Astyanax mexicanus: one gene and its partners. The protein of the gene in region 1 purifies or fractionates together with the protein of each later gene. This does not show direct contact. Links are inferred from orthologs where the notes say so. Each region holds a gene or a part of one and is shown on either strand. Other genes may lie near its edges.

Region 1 (7,690 bases):
TACCTTTATTGCATTGCTCAGTGCGGGTAACCACTGTGAAAAACAACGTCTAACAGCTGCGTTTTCAGAACTTATAGGCTGACAAAGAGTCTGTGCAAGAAACCTATACGTGTTCCCAGCTTGCACACAACCGACCTTCAACGTTGAAATATTTAACGTTGAAGTAATGTCTGTTGTTGTTTCAACGTTGAAACAACAATTAATGTTAAATGGTTGTGCAACAATAACATTTCAACAAAATCAACATAATGTCCTCAACCTTCTGCCTTTTGAATTAGCTTTTTACATTTCAAAAAACGGTTGGATGGAGGGATGAAAAAGTGTTTTTATTCCTTTTGCAGTAATTGTTTTTTATTTTATTTTGCACCGTTTTACACCATAACTGGGGGTATGTGCATGTTGTATTTGTTTTACTGTTGTGTTATGTTCTAGTTTTAGTGGGCTATGGTTTATTTAAGGTTAAACGTACAATTTTGAAACAACGTTACCTTATCAAAGTTGATTCACTTTTCAAAATCAACACCAAATCCAACGTTGATTCAATGTTAAAGTGCCAGCTGGGTTGTGCTGTGATGTCTTGTCAAATCGTGCTAGCAGTACATATTGGTAAAGCTGTCTAAATGAATAAAACAGAATGCATGCTATTTCGACTGCCTAAAAGCCATGTTGGCTATATTAAAACATGCTCCAGGCAAAAGTCTAGAGAAGGTATTTCAATAGCATAAATTACTGTAGCGTTATTAGGGTGAAAATAATATCTGAGAGAACAATACTTTTTTGTTTTGAATTGCCATTTGCACAATTTTAACACTCAGGTAAATAATAACACTCACGCTCAGTTGTTATAATGCACCAGAGAAAATTAAGAGAATTATAATGAAAAACAAATGAAAACGTATTTAAAAGGAACCGAGGAGCTGAGGAATAGCGCACGCGCAGTGTTGGCAATCAGCGCATATCGATAGGTAGGTATCACATCTCGACAGAACACCTCACGGCGTTCACACCTTTGCCATCTCGCAGAGGCTCGAGCTGCAGTGTGTTTAACAGTGTTTTACAGCTGCCTGTCTAATTCACGGCGAGCGAACAACCGTCACTAAAACAGAACCGAATAAATACACACGATATATGGTTCACTGTCTCCTCAAATTCACCTCAGCCGTGGACGCGCTTCTATTTCTGCAGCATTTCTGTATTTTTATCTACACATTTTCTAATTCGCTGAATGACGAACGATCCCACACACAAAGGGCCGCTGCAGCATCGAGACGTATTTTGTCGCCAACGAGGGCAGCGACCAATCAGAGGACGCGGATTTCTCTCCAGCGATGAAAGCAACCAATCAGAACGCGACGTCCATCTCGTCCCTGAGCGTCGGGAAGCCAATCAGAGCGCCCATATCCATAAATGGAGTTTCCGGAGCGCCGCTGCTGCAACAGCAGCAGTGCCTATTTTTGTCTCATATGGGACTTAATTAAATGGCATTGAAGTGACGAAATCAACACCAAATATCCAAATTTATTAAATTTACTTTTTGTTGCATAATACCTTCTACTATCTACGCTCATAATACGAATTTCTGATGTAATAAAACATTTCTACGCAGTGCTAGGCTATTTTTTGATCCTTTGCAGCGCCCACTCTCTCCCCTCACTCTTGTTTCCCACGTTGGGGGGTCGTCTGGTGAGAGGGGCTCTATATTTAGACAAAATGAGATGAGGTAACCCCGGCCTCCCTCTGGAATGTGTGTGTGAGAGAGGGAGAGCGAGAGAGTGAAAGAGAGAGTGTGTGCTGTTTCCCGGCAGGCCCACGCCCCTGCAGGCCAGCTTTCCGGCAGCCGGTCAGACTTCAGCCTTAGTGCAGGACAGCGCCTGTGTCGGTCAGCCTGTCCGGTCTTGCTACCGGGAAATGGGTCAGGTTTTTGCTAGACCTCTATTAATGCAAAGTTAATCTGCCTCTATGCACACGTTTGCTCTCAAAATAACTTTTAAGCACTTCTGTTCTAAAAGGAACCCCAACCAGTCCCCGGACAAAAAAACATAATTATTATAAGAAAAGTACCAATAAAGCAAAAATATATAGATTTGGATTTTATTGATGTAATTAGCAGCAATATCCTATGAAGGGTGAATTAAAGAACTGATATGCACTCACACACCCAATATCTGCACTACTGCTTATACGTGCACTGTCATATCCAACTGTGACATTTAAATAACTGTATGCACTCGTTCACTTTACCAGCCTTAAGCATTTCTATCACTATATTGCACTACTGTTTATACAGATTCTGTTTACAACGGCATTGTCATTCCCTCTTAATCCCCACTTTAATCACTATTTATCTATTGTCTTTGTCTATTATCTCTTGTCTCACGTATGTCTATATCTGTGACCTTGTTGTTTTGTACATTTAAACAATGTATTCTATTATATTTATATTTTATTTTTTTCTTGTTATTGCTGTAACTTTGGGAAGGAAAGTAATTTGGGTCCTCGGTATGTCCTGTACTTATGCAGTATTGGCAATAAAATTACTTAACTTGCGTTTATTTTATTGCATGAATTATTAAAAATTACATTTTTGTTTAGCTATATTGTTCCATTAATGGCAAGAAAAAAACGGTCCCAATCACTCTTCAGTCACTTCAGATTAAAACTGCTTCTCTTCCATGTAATCACCATTTTAGAGCGGTGAGTGAAAAACAGTCCCAGACTAAGAGTTTAAAAAGTCCAGAGCTGTGTCTCTGGAGCTTGTAGGTTTTTCATGGACACAGAGGTCCAGAAATAGAATAAAACAAACCAAAACAAGTGAAGTGTAAAGTTTTGCTTCGCCAGTTTGTTCCAGTTCCAGCTCTACCGCGTCACTGACGCCAATGGGAGGGGCGTTGCCTCGACAACGCGGAATAGGAGGGGCGTCGCCCAGGCCTCTCGAATGGGAGGGTTGTTGCCGGGCAACGATGAACAGTAAACACAACACGATCCAAGCAGCGCTGTTAATAAATAACAAAAATCCGCTTCAGTTCACTTTTCTTCACCCACAGATCAATCACAGAAAATGGAAAACAACTGTACACATGTTACCAGACACAGCCAATAGTTTTCACATTTATGCGGGGGAAAAAGTTAAAATATAAAGAAAAGGGCTTTAACTTCCTCTGCTTTTAATATTGCATCATTCAATCGAATATGGATATTGTTTATTTTTTAGTTTGTTTATTTGCGTGTTTGTCTGTGTTTTAGTTTTCTTTGACCTAGTTTTATAACGTCAGTCAGTTGAGCGTGCAGGACATGCACGCAGGTGACCTTGGACACACCAGCACATTCCTCACAGGTACAAACCCCACCCCTACCAATCACCTATCACCTACATCTGTCAGAAACATGAGAGGAATCCTTTCTCTCTCTTACTCCCTCTGTCTGTCTGTCTCTCTCTCTCTCTCTCTCTCTCTCTCTCTCTCTCTCTCTCTCTCTCTCACACACACACACACACACAAATTCAAATAATTAAAAAGTTCTGGAGAAGAATTATCCATTAACATTTTCAGACCTTAAGTATCTCCAGTGATGAAAAAAATGTAAGAATGCTCTTTTCTGTCTGTAATGCACAGAAAAAAAGACTCTAACAGTGTGCTATAAAATCTATATGGCAAATAAATCCAATTAACAAAAATATAGATTTTTATTTATATTGCATTGGAAGCCTGTGTGAAATATTTTATATTTTCTTTTTTATTTCCTTTGTATTTCATAAACCATCTCTAAACAGTAAAAAACATGATTTAAAAAATAGTTGTTTCTTTGCCTTAATGGCTCTAGTACTACTGCTTTTACAGTGGATAAGACCAAGCTACCTTTTCATTGGTTTATAGACACGTTCATTGGCCATTCATGGTTCGTGGTCTGTTTTGACGAACAACAGCTCTCAAATATTGTGCAACAAAACATTTAAAAATAAAGAAAATAAATTATGTTCATTGTAATGGATGCAGGGTTTGAAAGGGTTAAATAAAATGCTACATTTGTTTTTCAAACTCAGGTTTCAATTAAACAAAACACATATTTTCAAATAAACAAAATAAAATAAATATATATTTTTACTGCAATGTTGTAATTCTTTATATTATATAATTTATAAAATTCTAGCCATACGCTCTAAATAATGCACAGCAGTGAGATCCCCTTTTGTCCTCGCAAACACTGCGCTCTCAACGTTCACCAAGAAACTTCACCCCGCTCTGTTTACGTAACATCGCGCTCTGTCCGCACAGAGTGTTTCCCAGCAGCGCTCCGCCCTCACAGGATGCTTCCCTTATAAGGACAATGACGTCTTGGGATACCCTGCTATGGAACGTCACACGTTCACAGCAACCGTTAAAAACAGTGAAAAAACACGGGGTTATTTCACTATTACACAAAGCGCGCGGCGGTATTGGGACTGTACGGACGCGAAGGCTATAAAAAACATCGTTTTTTATTTTTGCGCGGTTTGCTTTTCCCGTGTTTGAGTGCATCTGTGCGCTCGAATGTTCCGAGATAGCGCCGCCCCTCCGACGTGCGTCACGCGCGAGCACAGTATAAAAAGGGAACTGCTCTCCAGTCTCAGCACTCAAACTTTGGACTATATCGGAAGAACAGCGAACTGAGTGGAGATTTAAGCCGCTAGAACTCAGTCTATTCCCCTCAGGAACTCTTCATATCGCGACTTTTGGATCTTTTGGACGCGTTCCGAGTGGGTCAGCGGTATAAAAGGATGATGTTTACCACTCTTGAGCACGACTCGTCCCGCTGCAGCAGCGCCTCTCCCAGCGCGGGGAGCTACGGGTCTCCGGCTGGAGTTTACAGCTCACACAGCCAGGTATGTAGTAGAGCTACCACCTCCAACTCTAGGCATGATGGGATTTTATCTGTTTTTATATTTATACGTCAGAGATTTATAATACATTTATAAGAAAATGTAAGAACTTTGTGTTTTTTTACTGCTTTTTTAGTTTTTTTTTTCCTGATTAAGAAGAGTATTAAATTAGTTTCTCTCTTGGTGTTTCAGGATTTCACTGACCTGGCCGACTCACCATCTCCCTTCGTGCCCACGGTCACGGCCATCTCCTCCTGCCCTGACCTACAGTGGATGGTCCAGTCAGTGGTGTCCTCAGTGGCACCCTCCACCGGCAGAGCTCACCCTTACAGCCCAAACAGCACCAACACCTCCTTCTCCAGAGCCAAGATGATCAAATCGGTTGGAAATGGTGCTCAGAGCTCCAGCAGGAGGGGCAGAATTGAGCAGGTGTGTGTCTTTTGGTTATAACACGGTCTTAATATACAAGGGGGAACTACGTGAAAATTTCTTTACTGCATCAAAAGTTATTGTGGTGTAAAAGAGGTGTGTTTGGTCTTCATGGTAGTATTGTTTGCCATATATACAATCCCTATATAGCCATCATATAAACACAAACACTTGAAATCTGTGCATTTTGTGCCAAATCTTAACATCTTTTACATCTCAATGACTTTAATAATCAATTAAAGTTGTACTTCCCCTAAAATTCCTATTGTCCTCATTTTGTTCTTATCCCTAATCTGTTGAATTGGAAACTAATCAATTTCCTCCCTTTTTTTATTCAGCTTGCTCCAGAAGAAGAAGAAAAAAGGCGTCTTCGCCGTGAGCGGAACAAGATGGCTGCAGCCAAATGCCGCAACAGAAGACGTGAACTCACTGACACCCTCCAAGCTGTAAGTATTCCTGTCTCCTCTGGTCTGAACTTTATTATTTTGACAATATAACTCTATTATCTACAGGAAGCCAAACAACAATGGCAGTTAAATTAACATTCTGCTTGCTGTCTTGTTTTACCAGGAAACTGACCAGCTTGAGGACGAGAAGTCTACTCTGCAGAATGATATCGCCAACCTGTTGAAGGAAAAGGAGCGGCTCGAGTTCATCCTGGCCGCTCACAGGCCCATCTGTAAGATCCCAACTGAGATGGACACGGCCTTTCCCGAGCCTTCCATCTCCCCAGCTCAGCCTGTCTCTGAGATCCCTCCCGTCACCGCTTCCTCTGTTACTTCCAGGCTGACCGAGACGATGTCCTCAGCTTCCTCTTCAGTGTTCTCTAACCCTTCCACTGACCTCATGACCTCCACAGTGAAGATCTCTGACCTTGACCCATCCCTGGAGGCGTCCTTGGAGTTTCTGGCCAAGTCTGAGCTGGATACGGTGCGCTCTGTGCCTGATGTTGACCTGTCAAGCTCCCTGTACGCTCAAGACTGGGAACCCTTGTACACGTCGGCCAACCTGGACCTGGAGCCTCTGTGCACGCCAGTGGTCACCTGCACACCCGCCTGCACCACCTACACGTCTTCCTTCGTCTTCTCGTATCCAGAGAGCGAGGTCTTCCCCGTCTGTGGCCAGCTGACCCGCCGGGCCAGCAGTGGCAATGATCAGTCGTCCGATTCCCTCAACTCTCCAACCCTTCTTACTTTATGAACTCATAAACAGCAGGGGTGTAAATTGATATCAACAATATGATCGCGATTCAGGCATCCAACTTTAGATTTGGTTTTAGTTCATCCTGACTAAAAGAACGACAACAAACCCTCAATATATACACTCTCTCATATTGTAGTTGAATCGCAGCCTTCTGTACTTTCATTTACACCCCTGTCCAAAAACAGACCTCATTAAAAACACTTACAGACTCTTTAACTGTTCAGGGCTACACAACTGACTCCACTAAGCAAATGTTTCTTTATGTATTTATTTATTTGAAGCATTTCTTGCCTCTTGCATATGTAGCAAGTTTAAGCATGGTTGAATACTTTGGTGTGTATTAACTAGTTATGTTACATTATGCAGATAATACAATGTAGAAAATAGGTTTTTAATTTTACTGGTGCTAGATAACTGTAATGTGGTCTGAGCAATACAGAACTGACTTTGTTTTCCACATTGTGTGAACTGTTCTTCACTAAACTGTTGTGCTTGGTTTATTTAACCATTATAAATGAAATGGTCTGAAGTTTTCTGTGAAAACGTTGTATTTATGGATTTGTATTTTTGTACCGAAATGTGAAAATGCAACCTGAACAGGGTTTGCAAACCTAGAAATAAATATATTAAATGTATGTCTCTGTATACGGTCATGATTTACTTTCAACACGGGTGCTAACATGTGATTGATTATTATAGCACGTATACCTATAGTCACTAAAGTTGTACAGTAAGTTTGTCCTGATTGGGTCTTAATTGAAAACTTACATTTTAAGATTTGAGACTCAACTATTGCAAGACATGTGTTGGGCAGGACATTTTAAGCCAAACAGAACAGCTCACTTCCATTTTATTCTTACATATTCTGGCATATTATGTCATTTAAAAGGATAAAGCAAACATTGTATTTAATCAGATTCATCCAAAGTTATATTAATAAGTAATAAGGTCTTGATTAGACTGATGGTGAGACTTAAACATTTAACTAAAAGAATGGCAAACTGTTTTGACCATATCAGCATGAAGACTTCATATTAAGAGACTTTGTATTAACTTTGGTTAGCTTGACTATGAAAATCGCTTGAAAAACTAATTACAAATACAATTTTGAACAGATCATCAGTAAGTAAGAATACCTCATTATCAGAAGCTGTGTTTTTGCTGATTTCAGCCAGTTTGGCAACGTCACAGATGAAAATCTAT
Region 2 (7,751 bases), on another chromosome or scaffold:
AAAGCATAAAGAAATCCATTCTGACTGCACGCTGCAGCTGAACACACAGCGAGTCTGGAGGGAGTAGGAGTTCATTTGGCTGCAGCCGTACATAAATTCTCACTTTCGACAGGGATTCTTTTTCTCCTCCAGCTCCAGACTGCCGACAATGTGACAGACATGATGACAGACATGATCACATGGTCATTACCCTTTGAGATATTAACAGATTTTTGCGTGACAGCTTTGCCCAGTGACACCATGCCCATGCTTTATCTAGCAAGATTTCAGCCACTATTGTTGTCCGCTCCTAAATGAAACCATGTGTTTACATCAAGCACAAAAAGAAATGAAGGGGAATTATAGAAGGCAGGCTGCATGTTGCACAAGCATTCAAAACCAGGATATATAAATCAGAGTCCAATCTGAGGACACTTCATGTGAAGAGTTAACCAACCACTGTATGATGTTTACCTCCGTTAAAAGAATGACATGCAGAAAAACAAACTTGTACAAATAATTAACAAGTAGTGCGGCCACTTCTGAAGCCTGCTGCTCCAACTGTTGATTTTTTTTTGTGTCAGACTACTATAGATATAAAATCTGTCCCTCTCTTGTGGGGATACAAATCCATTACATGTTTGCCATTTTAGCCTTATAGCCTCAGTGCAAATGTATTCAAGCAATGTTTGCAGTAAGAGACAGTATTGTAAGAATGAAATAAACAGTATAAATACAAAAACAAAAAAGGTACAACAATTGTCTTCTCAAGACTTCAGACAATGGATGGTATGGTTGCTTATTTAGTCTGTAGAGGGTGAAAGGCTGTGCAGATTGCATAACAATCAGGTACAACTAACTAGCTTTATTAAAGACATTTCACGGTCATTTCTATTATGCTTGTATGCTTGCATGAGTGTTTAATCGTGTGCTACACTGTGTAGCAAGTTGGCTGTTGTGGTGTTATGATGTAATTCATCTGAGTGTAATGCGCTTTGGCTCATTAATGGCCGTGTCACTACCGAGGCAGCTAAATTTAGAGTCAGGCACACGTTTTCACAGCGTGTGGCAATCAATGCTAGTTAACACTTGCATGTAAAGCAGTTTTCTTACCAAACACTAACAGAGTTAGTTAAATTCCAACTAGGCCAACAGGGACAAGTGTAGCTAGACTAGTTAACCAGCTAACTAACTATCTGGCTAACGTTTAAAGCTACCGGTCTTCTGCAGGCAAGCGTCAGCTTGCAGGTCGCTGGTCATTATGTTGTCAGGTTAAAGTTAACCACAAGTTTAGCTAACGCTAACTCAGTTTCCACTAGTAGCATGTTTAAGATATCAGCTCCCTCCACAGCAATTATATTTACTCGCAAAAAAAACAGATCTATTAACTTAACTTACATATAACGTTAATGTTGTTTTGACTGGTCCTATGTTGCTATTGATTTATAAAGAAATTCAGACCCTCTAATCCGTAGATAATTAAGCTACATTTCAAAAGTACAAAACATTAATAACAGTTTTTCACAACAAAAAATGTAGTTGCAAATATTTAGACAAGGAACTAACCTAGCTAGCTAGCTAGATTTTACAGTAAGGATATGGTGACCAGGTAGCTTAGATTGTTTAGTCAGAATGACTTTAAACGATCTGTAGTTGGATCTGGTATTATTCCTAGCAAAAAAATGTCGCTCACCCTACAGCGATACATACTTTTAAAACTGCATTAGAGACCCGCACGTTATTGCAATATTTAGCTAACGTAACTGGTTAAACTGAGACAGGACTTGGTTTGCTCGCATCATTAAGGATCAAATGATGCTAACGCTAGCTTGCTGCTACAGTGTTAAGTGTTAACGGTAAATAGCTAGCTAGAGTTGTAGATAGGTTAGCTTAGCTAGCTAACACATCAGTCACAGGAGGAATGAGATCTCTGCTCCGCGCTGGGTGTTTGTATACAGATCATAGTATAGCTAACTTACAATCCAGCTTGAATAAACAGGCCAGTGTTTACTAGTTAGCTAACGTTAGCTCTGCAGCTAACGTTAGGTTAGTTTAACACTGGACGTAAAATGTCAGTTTTACGTTAGTGAAGTAGCTTAGCTAGCGTTTACTGCCGCTCCGCCTCTAGAACAAACTAGACCGGTGTTGTGTCGAATTGTGCTACCTTCTTCAACTGTGCTACCCTGGTAGTATTTAATTTATATAAAACGGTAAAAGTACCAAGAAAAAGCACCTTATTGGAAAATACTAGGTAGGATATGTGAATAGGCTAAATCACTGTCAAGTACCTTAAAGTAAAAAAATAAAAAAAATAAAATAAAATCACATACTTGATTAGAAACCGTATTTTTTATAGTTATAGTTTTTTGTAGTTAATTATTATTTTTAACTGCTTTACATTGTTTTAACATCTGAGCAGGTTGTTTAATGCTCTCAATAAAAACTCACGGAATGATCATGAAAAACAAACAGTACAAAAAAAGGTTGGTTAGCGCATGAGCAGTGCTGTAAAGAAGTACATATGAATGAGTAGCATAACTCGACAGAACACCGGGTTGTTTTGAGCACTGAGCTACTAGGCTAGCTAAGGTAGCTAGAATAACTAAGGGGTTAGCTGCCTCGTTTGCAGCCGACACTTTATTCTGTCTTTTTTTCCAGCTGAACTTGTAAGGGTCGAGCTCCTCTCGGTTTTCAACATTATAACTTACTACAATAATTAAGTTTTTCCTGCAGAGTGAAACATGCGGCAAAAGCTATGAAGGCAGTAAGCCGGTTTCTGCAGCTCCAGTTCAGCTGGGTTATGGCTTGGTTTGGTTTGCTCAGCTCGCCGCCTCTCGACGGACTGACGGGCCATTTAACAACTCACTCACTCACCTCGAGATCAAATCGCCGGGGGGGAGGGATCCTCTGCCGTCTACTAAACCGCAGCCGCCATCTCAGCTCAGGACTCAGGAGAGGCGCAGGAACAGTCGGCTCGCTGCCGCGCAGCGCTGTGTGGGAGAAAGGACGGTTTTATTCCGCTGTTAGAGAAGCGAAGCGTCGCCGCGCTGAAAAGCCTCGTCCCGTCGGACTGATCACATCTTTCCATAGCAGCACCACCTGACAACGGAAATGACGCACGAACAGTAAGGGGCAGCCCGACTAACCCAATCAGAGGCGAGTACCCTCCTCTCCCGACCGGCTCAGCCAATAAGTCTAACTCGTTTTCGGGCCTTTTGTCTTTAACTGGAAATAAGACAACAGAATAATGAATACACTGAGTGATTTATGATTTGATTATTGCTCAGTTTTTCTTTACCAATATCGATGATTTATTAATATATGTATACAGCACTGAGCCATATCATAGGTGTCTTCTGAAAAAGGGAATACAAGTTAGAATGAGTTTAAGAAGTTAATATTATTTAATCACTAAGTGATGTCTATATGTATGTCCATATGTGGACACTTCTTCTAATAAATGATGCATCCAGCTACTGTAAGCAAAGTTTTACCCTTTGCTGACACAGATGGGCAAATACACACACACACACACATGCACACAGCTTGTCCAGCCCTTGTAGAGAAGATGTTTACTGCTAAACATGTAAAGATGGACATGAACCTATTGGCACCATGTATAATGGTATGGGCTAGCTGTGGAGCTGTGGTGTGTTATCTGGAATGGTGGTGCTCCATCAGTTAAAGATAAGTTGAGGTGGTGACCTTCTAACATCCTGACAGTAACATGCTTGTTGCTGAATGTAATCAAATCATTATAGCAAATAATCATCAAATACAAAAGCAAGTAGAAAGTCTTTCCTGGACTGCAGACAACAGAATAATACCCTTTTAATACTATTGAATTTAAAAGAAACAATGAATAGACATTTGTCCCAATAAGTCTGTCCATATAGTTTAATTTAAACTTCTCAAATGTCTGTACTAGTGCATTGTACACCATAAATCAATAAATAATTCTTACATTGTTTTGCTGCCTTCATCTGGAATAATGTGTTTTTATAAATGCAATGATACAAAATTATGACAGGTACCACACATGCAAAAAAATCAGGTTACACAAGCATTAGAGAAAGCTATTCAGTGCTTTCTCTAATTAATCAAATATTGCTACTACTACATTTATTCTATGTGCAAGACCCTTCAGATAGTTCAACAGTTCCTCAACTGAACCCCACCCATGCTGCTTGTTCTAATTCAGAGCACTGGACTAGTAAGCAGTAGCTTGTCAAATACATGTCGTTCTTTTAAAGGGTCATAACTCTTTTTGATTGCTTTGACTCAGCACAGCATTTGCTTTTAGCCACATGAAACATTTTTATCAGCCTGTGGCTTAGGTTTGGCCAACCCACAGTTTTCAGGGTGGAAACTGACTGAATCATACTGTGAGAGTGGGCGACCCATGGGTAATGTAAGGAGAGACAGAAAAGTATAAAAAGAATGCATAACAGGAAAAGGGTACAGTGTTGCATACATCCTTTACATACATTTACTTCATTATTTGACCCTTTCAGACAAAAACATATTTCAATCATTTCCCACAAACTATTTAAGTTAAGTGCATTTATGCATGAAGAAATATGTATATATAAAGCACAACAGAGCACTAAAAGAGCTCATGGTGACATGCATATGTCACAGACCTTTACAAAAAGCTGTGAAAGTTCATTACAGCAGTCTGTCCTTGATTTTATAAACTTATGAAGACCTAAGTGACATATACTGAACATCCTGTGTGCATTAGGACAGTGTGTCACTGTGCTTATCTGACCTTATTTACAGAATGTAGGTGTGCTAGGTTAGTGCTGGAGATTAGATTTCACGTAATATTTTTTGCTTCTTTAGGTCTGTTCCAACCCATTTTACAATACAAATGTTTTAAATGTTTTACATGCAAACTAGTTGTGACACAAACTCTAGAACAGAATGTCAAACAAATACACGTTATGAAATTGTATAATTTCTGTTACATTAGTGTTTAAAGATTAAAATATTTAGAGTCATGTTCTCTCTTTATACAAAAAGAAAACACATGAGTGAGCTTCTCAGTTAATTTACCAATGATCCAATTTTGAACTGGATAAGGACCCTAATGGGTTAAGAAAAAAAAAACTGATTTCTCCCAAAGGGAGTTTTTATGTGAAAAATGATTAAAAAAGTCATTTTAATTAAATAATAAATTGTATCAGAATTCAAATGATCAGTGTTTAAAATGATGCAGCACAGAAACAGTGCTGTACAGCAGTGTAAAGAGAAGCACTGTGGGCTGAGGTAAGTGTGTCTAGTCCTACCACCTATTGCCTCAGCATGTTTTGACAGCTCTTTTTTCACATGGCTATTATGAGAGTGCGTGACTGGAAGCCGTGATGTGGGGGTCTAAAACGTGCCTGGACTGTTCTCATTTTTCTCTGACGCCACAGCATAGTTACTGTCACCATGGTGATTCGAATTGTTACTCTGTCCTCCATTGAAAGTGTTCGCAGATAAACTGAAAGGCAATACTGGACAACTGAGGCTAACAGAAACAAAGAAATGCAGAAGGCAGCATCATCACTTCATTGCACATGTCATGGCGAGGACTCATCAATAATGCTGTTACACAGACCCACAAAAAACACACACAAACATACTGTTTATTCACGTGTGTGCATACAGAGTCCTGTGAGTAAATGAGAGACAGTGGGCAGTAGCACATGATGAATAGCCTGAGTGGTCAGTTTTAACTGCAACTGAAGGATTCTAAACTGTCTGCAACACCATATACTCCATTATAAGGTGACAGAATGATCATAAAGGAATGCATTAGGTAGTCGTATAGTTTTTGGATCATCTTGCCAGTTGGGTCAAAATTGATTAGAAGAGTTGCAAACCTTTTAATGTAAACCCTTGTTAATGTCACGTTTACACTCTACGTTCAATTAAAGATGCTGCATAAAATATTAATCCAGTAAACCTTAATTGTAAAATTAAGCAAATGTTACCATGCAGATAGCTAGCTCCCCAGTCTGTTAACTCGCTGGAAAAGAACTGTGTTCATACACAACTCTAGGATACAAACATAATGGCTCAGACTGAGCTACACAACACTAATCAGATGAAGATATATATAGAGACCTCAATGTGTAGAAAGGCATGACAAGGAATGCGGAACTTGCTCTATTCTCTCTTGATACTTACTTATGTTTGCTATTCCAAAGAAATAGTTTTGTTTTGTTCAGTTTGCAAATGTTGGTGATAAATTATAACAACTAACAGCAGCAACTGTAACAACAGCTAACTAATCCACAACATGCAAGAATTTAAAAATGTAGAGCTTCTGAAGGAGCACTGAGAGGGTGTGTTTGTCATGCTAATGAGTTTAAATATCAACAAGTTGTTCTCCAGAATCATAAACAGCACATTTAAAATAAAATACACTGAAATAGGCAGGGAAGTGTGCCTCCATGACAAGGATTGTGAAACACTGCATTGCATAACCTTATCTTTATAAAGCATATTAAGAATATAATGCTCAATTTGATGTTCCATCAAAAAGTCTTAATAACCTGTCATATTATACTCTAGTTCAGAACAGACGATGCAATCTGCTTCTGCAACAGTGCACACGAATCATTGGCTAACCACTCAGGCTAGTCATCATGTCCTACTGCCCACTGTCTCTCATTCACCCACGCTGCTCAGACAGTTGGTCTTTTGATGGCTTTTCTAATAAGCAATTCTAAAAAACCCTTTATTCATCTGTAAAGTCGTGGGAGAGGTATCCTTCTCCTACACATAAATGAATGAATTGCACTTACATTCATTCCCTTGTGGGAAAGCATGCTCACTTGCCACTCATTTTTTGCACATGGCACATTATTGTTTATATTTTAAAATGTTAAATTCATTAAGAGTAATTATTTTTTTTAGAATAAGGAGATGTATCTTTGTAGATAGAACATACTTACACTCAGAAAATAAAATATTTTAACCAACAATGCCATTGGGTTAAACAAAATCAGTGGTATTAAAAGATTGCTTTAAGGATTTTATATCATTATATGATCATCACCTCACCTCACCCCCAACTCCACAACTAATCCCTAAAGTACTGGATGAAGCACCATAATTGCAGAGAACACAGTTTAACAGCTCCACAGTGCTGGGGGCTTCATTCACCTCCAGACCACACCTGGCCTTTGTTGCACACAGGGCTCATACTTTATTGGCCATACTTTTCTGCAGGGATTTGCCAAACTGTGCACATCATTAACAGCTGCAATGGATAATGCATTTAGTAGAACGATTATCCACAATCAATCAATATATATATATGGTTATATCTATATATGATCATATCATGTGATTATATTAATTATATTTATATATTTCTTTCTCCGATTTTTGCAGATCCCCTAGCGGCCCCTGGTGTTTGTTTACTAAACTGCAGGCAAAACCCACCTTAGGAATAGGTTGGATAAAACTTTAATTTGGGAGCGAGTTAAACTATTTAAAATACTTAACTTTTTATAAACGCCCAGCTCACAAAAATCTTTAGGACTAGTTAACTAAGTAAATTACGTTACCAAGCTTTTGGGAACTCTGACCTGTTGATATTGTAGTTTCTCCAGCCTGGTTACCTGGTGTATTGCAGCTTAGCAAATGCTATTCAAATTTACAGAGGCGCACAGAGATGTTCTGATAGTATGCTGTTTATATGCTCAATTTAACAGTCTGGGAAAATAAAACATAAAATGTGGCTTTCATGATGCTTTAGGCAGTTTTTGACAAAT
Region 3 (7,963 bases), on another chromosome or scaffold:
TCCAAACTGCAGCAGGTTCTTCGCCCCCAGCCGGTTTTGTCAGGGTCAATTTGCAATCGGGCTCGGAGCGGTTATGGCAGGGGCCTCATCAGGGGAGAAAGAGCTCTGAACAGTGGGAGGCAAGAATTCCGCAACCAACCCGAGGACCTGAAGGATCCGCCCGCACAACATTCAGCTTTTTTTGTATGAAAGTGCTTTCAGATCCAGCTGCAACTTGGTAGAAAAAAGTGAATGGTAGCTCCTAGGCCTCACCCCCCACTGTAAAGGACCTCTAAGAGATTATCCTTCGTCTCTGAGGCCGACCAGCCCCAATCCAATTTAAAAAAGTGACCAGAGAATTCAGCGGAAAAGAACAAAATCCAACCTGAAGTCCTGGACCTGTAGAAAAGTGCAGAAAAGAAGCAGAAAGTCCTAAATCCTTTCAGAAGCAGATGTGTGAAATCAGAACCCTGGAGACGGAGAGTCATGTGGGAAGTGTGTGTTTCTATATATATATATATATATACAGTATAAATCTGTTCATTTTTATACATCTCTAATCATCTCTACTTAGAAATCAAAGCATCCATCCGTACAGAACTCAAAGCTGAATCCCAGCTTCCTCAAAAAGTTAGTAGTTTTGTTAGTAGAAGGTTTTAGTAGAAACATTACAATTAACATTCTTAGAATAATCTGTCAATGTGTTTTCTGAATGTTCTCAGAACATTTTATTCAATGTTTTTAAACATTCTTAATAAATGTTTACATTTTTAGTTTGGTTGTATTCGTCTATGTGAGAGACGTTCTAATAACATTGTGCAAACCATCTTTATGTCAAACGTTTTCAAAACGTTACATTCAACGTTAACAGAGACTTAGAACATTCAATCTTTTAATTTTACTCGATGTTCTTAGAATGTTTTATTGAACATTTTCTAAATGTTACAAATTAACATTCCTAGAATGTTCAACTTTTACACAAAGTTACAGTTCATAGAGTAACAGTCTTAGAACATTTCTGGACGTTCTTAGAATGTTTTATGTACCATTCTTAAACATTCTGGTAGCATTGCTGCAACGTCATTTGTGTTGTTAAAGTTAACATTTTTAAAACATACACTATACAGTATAAATTGAAAAGTGATATTGTAGCGACGTTGGGAAAATGTTAAAAGAAATGTTGCATAACATTATAAGGATATCAAGAAAACTTAACAGATGAACTTGAACTTACTAAGAACATTAATAGTAACATTTAGAAAATGTTCTACTGACTATTTTTTTCGTTTGCTTTCTTTTAAGATCTCGCTTCTTTCTTTTTTCTTGTTTTTGTCTTTCTTTCGAGATCCTTTTTTTTATCTTTTCTCTTTTTTCTCTGTTACCCACTGTTATTGATCACCCCTCTACAAAGGTGCGACAGAGAACTGAGCTATGACTGGGTTTTTTATACTGTGTTTCACAGCTGATCCTAGTTTGCGCTGAATATCGCTGGGGATTCTGGGACTTGTAGTTTTTTTGTTTTTGTTATTTTGGCCCAGATCCACCAGCTCTTCCACTGCAGACTCCAGGCCCTCTACTGGTGGTTGTTGGTACATGCAGCTTTATTATAAAACCAATACAAAACTCAATCTCTCAATCCAGAGCAGAAAACAGACAGATAGATAGAAACACACAGAGCTGAGCTTTATGATGTAATTTAATGTTTCAGATCGAACTGAATAACATGATTTAATCTGCTTTTCTTACACTTAAACTCTCCTGTTTGCTACTGAATCACTGATATTATTACTGGAGCTGGAAACCCCCATTCATCACTCTCTCACCTCTCGCTGTCTTTACCCATCAGGCTCTTTGAGTACCTTGGCTCCGTTTTAAAAGAGGTCTATATCTCTGAGCAGAGTCCTAACAGAAGCCCTACAAGATATATAAATGTTTGAAATGGCAAAACGTGCAGCTCTCATCTATAATTGAGACACTGAACTGGCTGGCTTCTGCTCCACACAACTCATCCACGGCTCTCTACTCCAGTTCCTCCCGAGAGGGCTGATCTTTTCGGAAAGTGCGCCAGCCCTAAAGACCTGCCTTACGCTGTCCGTACTCTACACCACTTTAAAAAGACTCTGAAAAAGACTTTAAAAGGACTTTAAACAGATTAAAAGTCTGACAACCTCTCACATCTAAATACTAGACACAGAGTTTTTACTCACAGACTAAGATTTTGCAAATTAAGCAAGTCATATTTAAGCAAAAATACTCTCAAGGTTCGTGCTATAACGTGTAATATTGGCACTGTTTTGGTGCGATCGTAGATCAGCAATATAACACAGTTCCATTATTATCTCTGTTTATTTAAATATTTTAAAGAGTTAAAGAGGAGGAGAAAATCTGCACGATCTGTTTGGCTATAAAATAAAAACTCTGCCAGTTAAAATAGCTCCATTGCTGCTCTGTTTGTTTGTAGCTGAGCTGTTTGGTTTGTAAGCGCTGCATCGTTGCATCGTAGGTTACCTGTATGTGGCGGAGTAATACGTACATGGAGAGCTTCGGTTACAGCAGTGCATTACTGGCTGATAACGGCACTCATAGAACGCCTCTCAGCCAATCACATTGCAGGGTCGGAACTACTAACTGTGGTATAATAATTATTTATACAGCACTTTTCAGAACTATATAACAGAGCCACAAAATGCTTTACAATAAAATAATTTAAATATATAAAGCATAAATGATGATAAAATAAATGACAAACAAAAACACAGCTAAATGCTTTTGCCATTTAATTTTTGTTGTTTTTTTTATTGTTTATTTGTTCCTTATTTTAGCGTAACCTGATAATTATATATTAAATACTTGACTTTAATTTGAATTGATTTTTTTTCCCAGTCTCTTTAGAAGGTAAATGCTTGGCTGCATCGAAAATTATTCCCTCAATGTATTACCGAGTGACAATAAAGGTTAATTGATTGATTAATTAGTTGGTTGATTGGATAATTGATTGATTGATTGATTTGTAACTCAAAAAAGGGTTCCACTGTGATTCATACCATCACTATCTAGTAAAAAAGGCTATTTTAAAGTACTATATTAATCAGTTTTTTTGCAGAGAAGCTGATATACAATAGTTCCATCACTTCTTCTCTAGTTTTTTCTTGTTTTTTCTGTTTATTTTGACTCATCTCTGTTCAGTAATGACTGGATCCTCTCTGTGATGGTTGGAGTTGGTTGGAGTTGGACTGGTGATGAACTTGTTCACACGCCGGAGTGTTTACGGACGGAGGGCGTGAGGGGAAGGAACGGCTCTTCAGAAGCAGACAGGACAGCTGCAGGGTAAAATACGGGCCAGGACTTCTCCCGTGGTGGTCTCCTGACAGGCTAATGTATTCTGTAAGATGCTCAGTAATTTTCCCCAAAGGGGACGAACACTTTTTCCAGCTTCACTGGGCTGAACTACGGTATAAACGCCTCATTCTGCAGCAAGCGAGCTGAAAATACACAATATTTTACACAATATACACAAACAGGGGTGGATTCCTTTAAAAAGTGACCAAAAATATTAATACATTTTAATTAATAATTAATACAATTTAAAATAAACCCTTTTAGAGGATTTATTTATTTCACACTGTCAGATTTGCTGATCTGGACAAATTGCACACTAAAAAAAACACAAAGGTACAATATAAGTACTTCATTCCTTACAGCAGGAAGTACAGATTTGTACCATTTAACAACCCAAAAGGTACAAAAGGTAAAAAAAAAATACATTTTAGGAATACATTTGTGACCACTGTGCCTTTAAGGGTTAATTAGACCTAAATAGTTATTGATATTGAGGAGTAGAGATTAGTAGAGACTTCCTATCACATTATTTAAATTAGTTTCTGTTTATTTTTTTTTTTTAATATTTGACATTAAAACCAAAAACACACCAAAACAGCCAATAATATGTCCTAACAAACTTCGGCTTCTGTTCTTATGGATACGAGATGCATTAAAACGTGCATTGCATATCTGTAAGTACTTTATTCAATTAATTCATTTAATTAATTAAGTACTTTTACTTTTAATTTGTAGACTTTTAGTATTTTATTAAAGCAGTTTTACCCCCCTCTGCTGGCCACCAGCGCGCACTGCAGTAAACCAGCAACAAGTTCAGCTTTTCCGTAGGTCACTCTGCCCTCTGCTGTTACAATACAGGACAGCATATAAATATATAATATAAATATATATATATTTTTACTTTTTGTTCTGATTTGCTTATATACGTATGTATATATACAGCTCTGGAAAATAAATAAGAGACCACTTAAGTTTCAAAATCCGTTTCTCTGATTTTGCTATTTATAGGTTTATATTTGAGTAATGTACATTTTTGTTTTATTCTATAAACTACAGACAACATTTCTCCCAAATTCCAAATAAAAATATTCTCATTTAGAGCATTTATTTGCAGAAAATGGGAAATAACCCTAGTTTTTAATCACAGTTTAATTTCATGCATCTTGGCATCATGTTCTCCTCCACCAGTCTTACACACTGCTTTTGGATAACTGTATGCTGCTTTACTCGTGGTTTAAGAATTTAATCCGCTCAGCTTGGTTTAATGGTTTGTGATCATCCATCTTCCTCTTGATTATATTATAGAGGTTTTCAATTTGGTAAAATCAAAGAAACTCCTCATTTTGTGACAAGTGAGTGAGTATTTTTTCCAGAGCTATGAGTATATAATTAAAAATATATATTTGATTTTTTTTTTTTACTTTTGTGTCTTTTTAAAACTATTTTAATATGACAATCTCAATGTTATATTTCAATATAAATACATAAAATAGTCAAAATAATTCTGAAATCATGTTTTGAGGTGTTAAAAAGCTCAGACCTGCTATAATGAACTATAATTAATACCCCAGACTCAGGCCCGCTCCGGTACAGAGGGTGGCGGTGGAGCTCTCCTGCCCGCCGCGGTGTGAGTGTTGCCTGGCGGCGGCTGTTCTTCTGCAGCGGGCTGAAATCTGTTCAAACCCCCGTTTGAGAATTGTCAACAGGAGGCTCCGCGGTGAGGATATTCTGTGTTTTGGTGGCTGATATTAAACCCAGCGCTGCTCCAGGCAGAGCGGTGAGCGGAGAGAGTGTCTGCGGGGTACAGCGCGACTGTTTCCCCGCTGCTGCGGCTCTGTGTGCGGGGTAACGGCGGCGGCAGCGCCGGGCTTGCTGGGCCGGTTAGCATGCAGTGAAGCTTCGGGCCTGCGGGGAGGGAGTTCATACAGGCGGCACCAGGGAACCATGTCGAGCGGACGGCAGCAGCACCAGGGCGGCGGCGTGGGCTCTGTGCCCGGTACGAGCTCCGGGAGCGGGAACACCGCAAATAGCGGGAGCAGCAGCAGCGTTACGGCCAACGGGAGCAACACGGGAGGCGGCAGCGGCGGCGGAGGAGGATCCTCCAGGACACTGGGCTCCGGAGCTGAGCAGCAGCTTACGGGGACCCAGAGCGGCAGAGCTGGCTCCTCCGGCGGGAGCTACAGCAGGAAGCGGCCGCTGTATAACGGCCTTATTAATCCGTATGAGGATAAGAGCAACGACTTCGTTTGGTGAGTAGAGCCGACAAACTGCAGCTTACCGACGGGGAGAACCAAGCTGAAGGGCCGCTATTAGCGCTCCACTACCTACAGTTAGCTTAGCTTAGCATAGAATATCGTAGCATATCATAGCTATATTAGTTTAGCTAATGCTATTGCTAACGTTATGCCAGTAACGTTAACCGCTTTTCTCTGTTCCCTTTTTTCTTTCTTTGACACAAAAATAGTTAGCTAACCTAATTCTGCGTTAACATTTATCTGCATTTATTAAACTCATTTATTTACATTTATATATTTTTAATAACGTCTAAAACACGCATTACTAAAGTTAGCTAACCTAGCTAACTAAGTTGACGCTAGCTAGATTAGCTAGGTTAGCATTGCCAGTTCCTGTGATATTAGCTAGCTAATGCTATCGCTAACGTAAGTTAGGCTAGTAACCGTTTTTCTCTGTTCCCTTTTCTCTCCAAAAACAAACTTAAACTAATTCTGCGCTATGCTTTCTTTATCTTTATTTGTAGCTGTGTTTAGTTTTGTGTCGGTGTTTATAACGTTAATTATTGCTGTTTGTCTAAAACATGCAATAATATAGTTAGCTAATCTAGCTAACTAAGTTAATGCTAGCTAGTTAGCTTGTAAAACTAGTAAACGCTAACAGTTACTTCGTTAGCTCTTTTAGCTCTCAGAATAAGAGTTTTCTCGACTCTTCTAAGGTTTTTGTCGATAAAACAAATTACAGTCGTTTTGTATGTTTGTCATGTAGGTGTTTTAAGTTGTTTTATGTGTTTATATGTGTTAGTTTAGCTAACGAAGCTACCAGATTGGTGTTCCTGCAGCTGCATTATTTACAGTAGCAGGTAGAGCTGGGTAATTAATCGATATCCTAATATATTGTGGTGATGAATATGTTTCAGTAAGGATGATACGGTTTCAAAATCATTTTTGATATAAATATGTATTTTACAACATTTTACAGCATCTGCCACAGACTGACAGTCATTACTGAACTTATTAGTTGCTAGACTAATATATAATAAAATAATAATGATATCAGTTCACTAGGTCATACAGCATGGAGCTGCACAATACTGGTGGAAAAATCTTACATTGAAATATGTTATTTTTATGTTTTCTGCCATTTATTTAGAGATATTAGAAAATACAAGGCTTTTACCAGCTTTCTTCAGAAGTCAGTCATACTATATCTCACCCGGCAAATGTTTGGCATGCTAGATATCTGACTCAGTCAGCAACTGGGAGTCAGGAGCAGCGGCTATATACTGCCAATGGAAAGAGAGAGAGAGAACCTCAGGTCCTGATTCTGCGATTTCCCACAGCGAAAACAGTTGTTTTGGTTTATTTGTTTTGATTATGTAGGATATTTTTAATATTTCTACCTTATAGTTCCAACGTCCAAATACACTTAATAATAATACTATATTAATAATAATACTGTGATAAATTAGAAGTCAAAAATATGTTTGTGCAACAGACTTACAAGAAAGCGAATCACATGTCTGTGAAATGGACATCATGTACATTATGCCAGTAGCTAAACAGTAAAATGTATGATGGATTGAATTGAACATTGGAGTAAAAGTGAATTAAAAAGCACAAAAACATGCAGAGTATTTAATAATCCTTTTTAAAAATGATTTTCATTTTTTGTTTTTCAGTCCCATATGTTTCGAAATGATAGAGGAAGCTCACATGACTAAGTGTGGCCACAGTTTCTGGTGAGAAAACATTTAATTTTATCTCATGTGTATCCGTTTTTCTGCCGTAATGCTTCCTGTGATGCTGATTCTTGTTTTAATTTTTGTTTTCTAGTTATAAATGTATACGACAGAGTTTGGAGGACAGCAACAGGTGCCCAAAATGTAATTACATTATAGACAATGTTGATCAACTCTACCCCAACTTCTTAGGTGAGTGATTTAAAGAGTAAATGCGGATTATCTTTATCTGTGCAGGGTTTTCTGAAGCGCGTACACACTTTTTTTTTTCTTTTTATATTATTAAACAGTGTTAAGGTCCGCACCTCTGAGTCAGAGATATTTTATACTGTATTTTCTTTGTCGCAGTGAACGAGCTAATCCTCAAGCAGAAACAGAGATGTGAGGAGAAACGGCTAAAACGGGACCACCCTGTAAGTATACAGCATGCTCAGAAAAACGTATTGTCTTTAAAAATTCTTTCATATTTCTCAGCTGGAAAATGTCTCTACTAGGGGTGTAAGAAATTTGATATATTAGATTATTGTGATAATTACTTTTACAATACCTCAATGACTTTTATCTATTAGTTTACAATAAAAGACATCTGATGTCTGACAGGGGTTCATTTGCTGTTGTTTAAACTCTGACCACTAGAGAGCAGTGTTGCAGTCTTCTGTTAAATCCCACTGT

What was found.
Region 2: the proteins of fosab (region 1) and stk40 purify together in Homo sapiens (affinity purification with mass spectrometry; 3 studies listed by BioGRID and IntAct, counting the BioPlex papers as one, with this or other methods). This does not show direct contact. The link is inferred for Astyanax mexicanus from reciprocal best matches to the Homo sapiens genes FOS and STK40.
Region 3: the proteins of fosab (region 1) and cop1 purify together in Homo sapiens (affinity purification with mass spectrometry; 4 studies listed by BioGRID and IntAct, counting the BioPlex papers as one, with this or other methods). This does not show direct contact. The link is inferred for Astyanax mexicanus from reciprocal best matches to the Homo sapiens genes FOS and COP1.

Annotation. Positions count from the first base shown.
Region 1 is NC_064408.1:39,843,791-39,851,480, forward strand, and holds fosab (v-fos FBJ murine osteosarcoma viral oncogene homolog Ab), read left to right. Parts: upstream 1-4,585; 5' UTR 4,586-4,753; coding exon 4,754-4,858; intron 4,859-5,047; coding exon 5,048-5,284; intron 5,285-5,622; coding exon 5,623-5,730; intron 5,731-5,854; coding exon 5,855-6,484; 3' UTR 6,485-7,122; downstream 7,123-7,690. UniProt on the Homo sapiens protein: Nuclear phosphoprotein which forms a tight but non-covalently linked complex with the JUN/AP-1 transcription factor. In the heterodimer, FOS and JUN/AP-1 basic regions each seems to interact with symmetrical DNA half sites.
Region 2 is NC_064413.1:33,630,207-33,637,957, forward strand, and holds the start of stk40 (serine/threonine-protein kinase 40), read right to left. Parts: upstream 3,083-7,751; 5' UTR 2,854-3,082; intron 1-2,853. UniProt on the Homo sapiens protein: May be a negative regulator of NF-kappa-B and p53-mediated gene transcription.
Region 3 is NC_064415.1:58,593,185-58,601,147, reverse strand, and holds the start of cop1 (E3 ubiquitin-protein ligase COP1), read left to right. Parts: upstream 1-4,921; 5' UTR 4,922-5,262; coding exon 5,263-5,567; intron 5,568-7,231; coding exon 7,232-7,291; intron 7,292-7,385; coding exon 7,386-7,483; intron 7,484-7,639; coding exon 7,640-7,704; intron 7,705-7,963. UniProt on the Homo sapiens protein: E3 ubiquitin-protein ligase that mediates ubiquitination and subsequent proteasomal degradation of target proteins.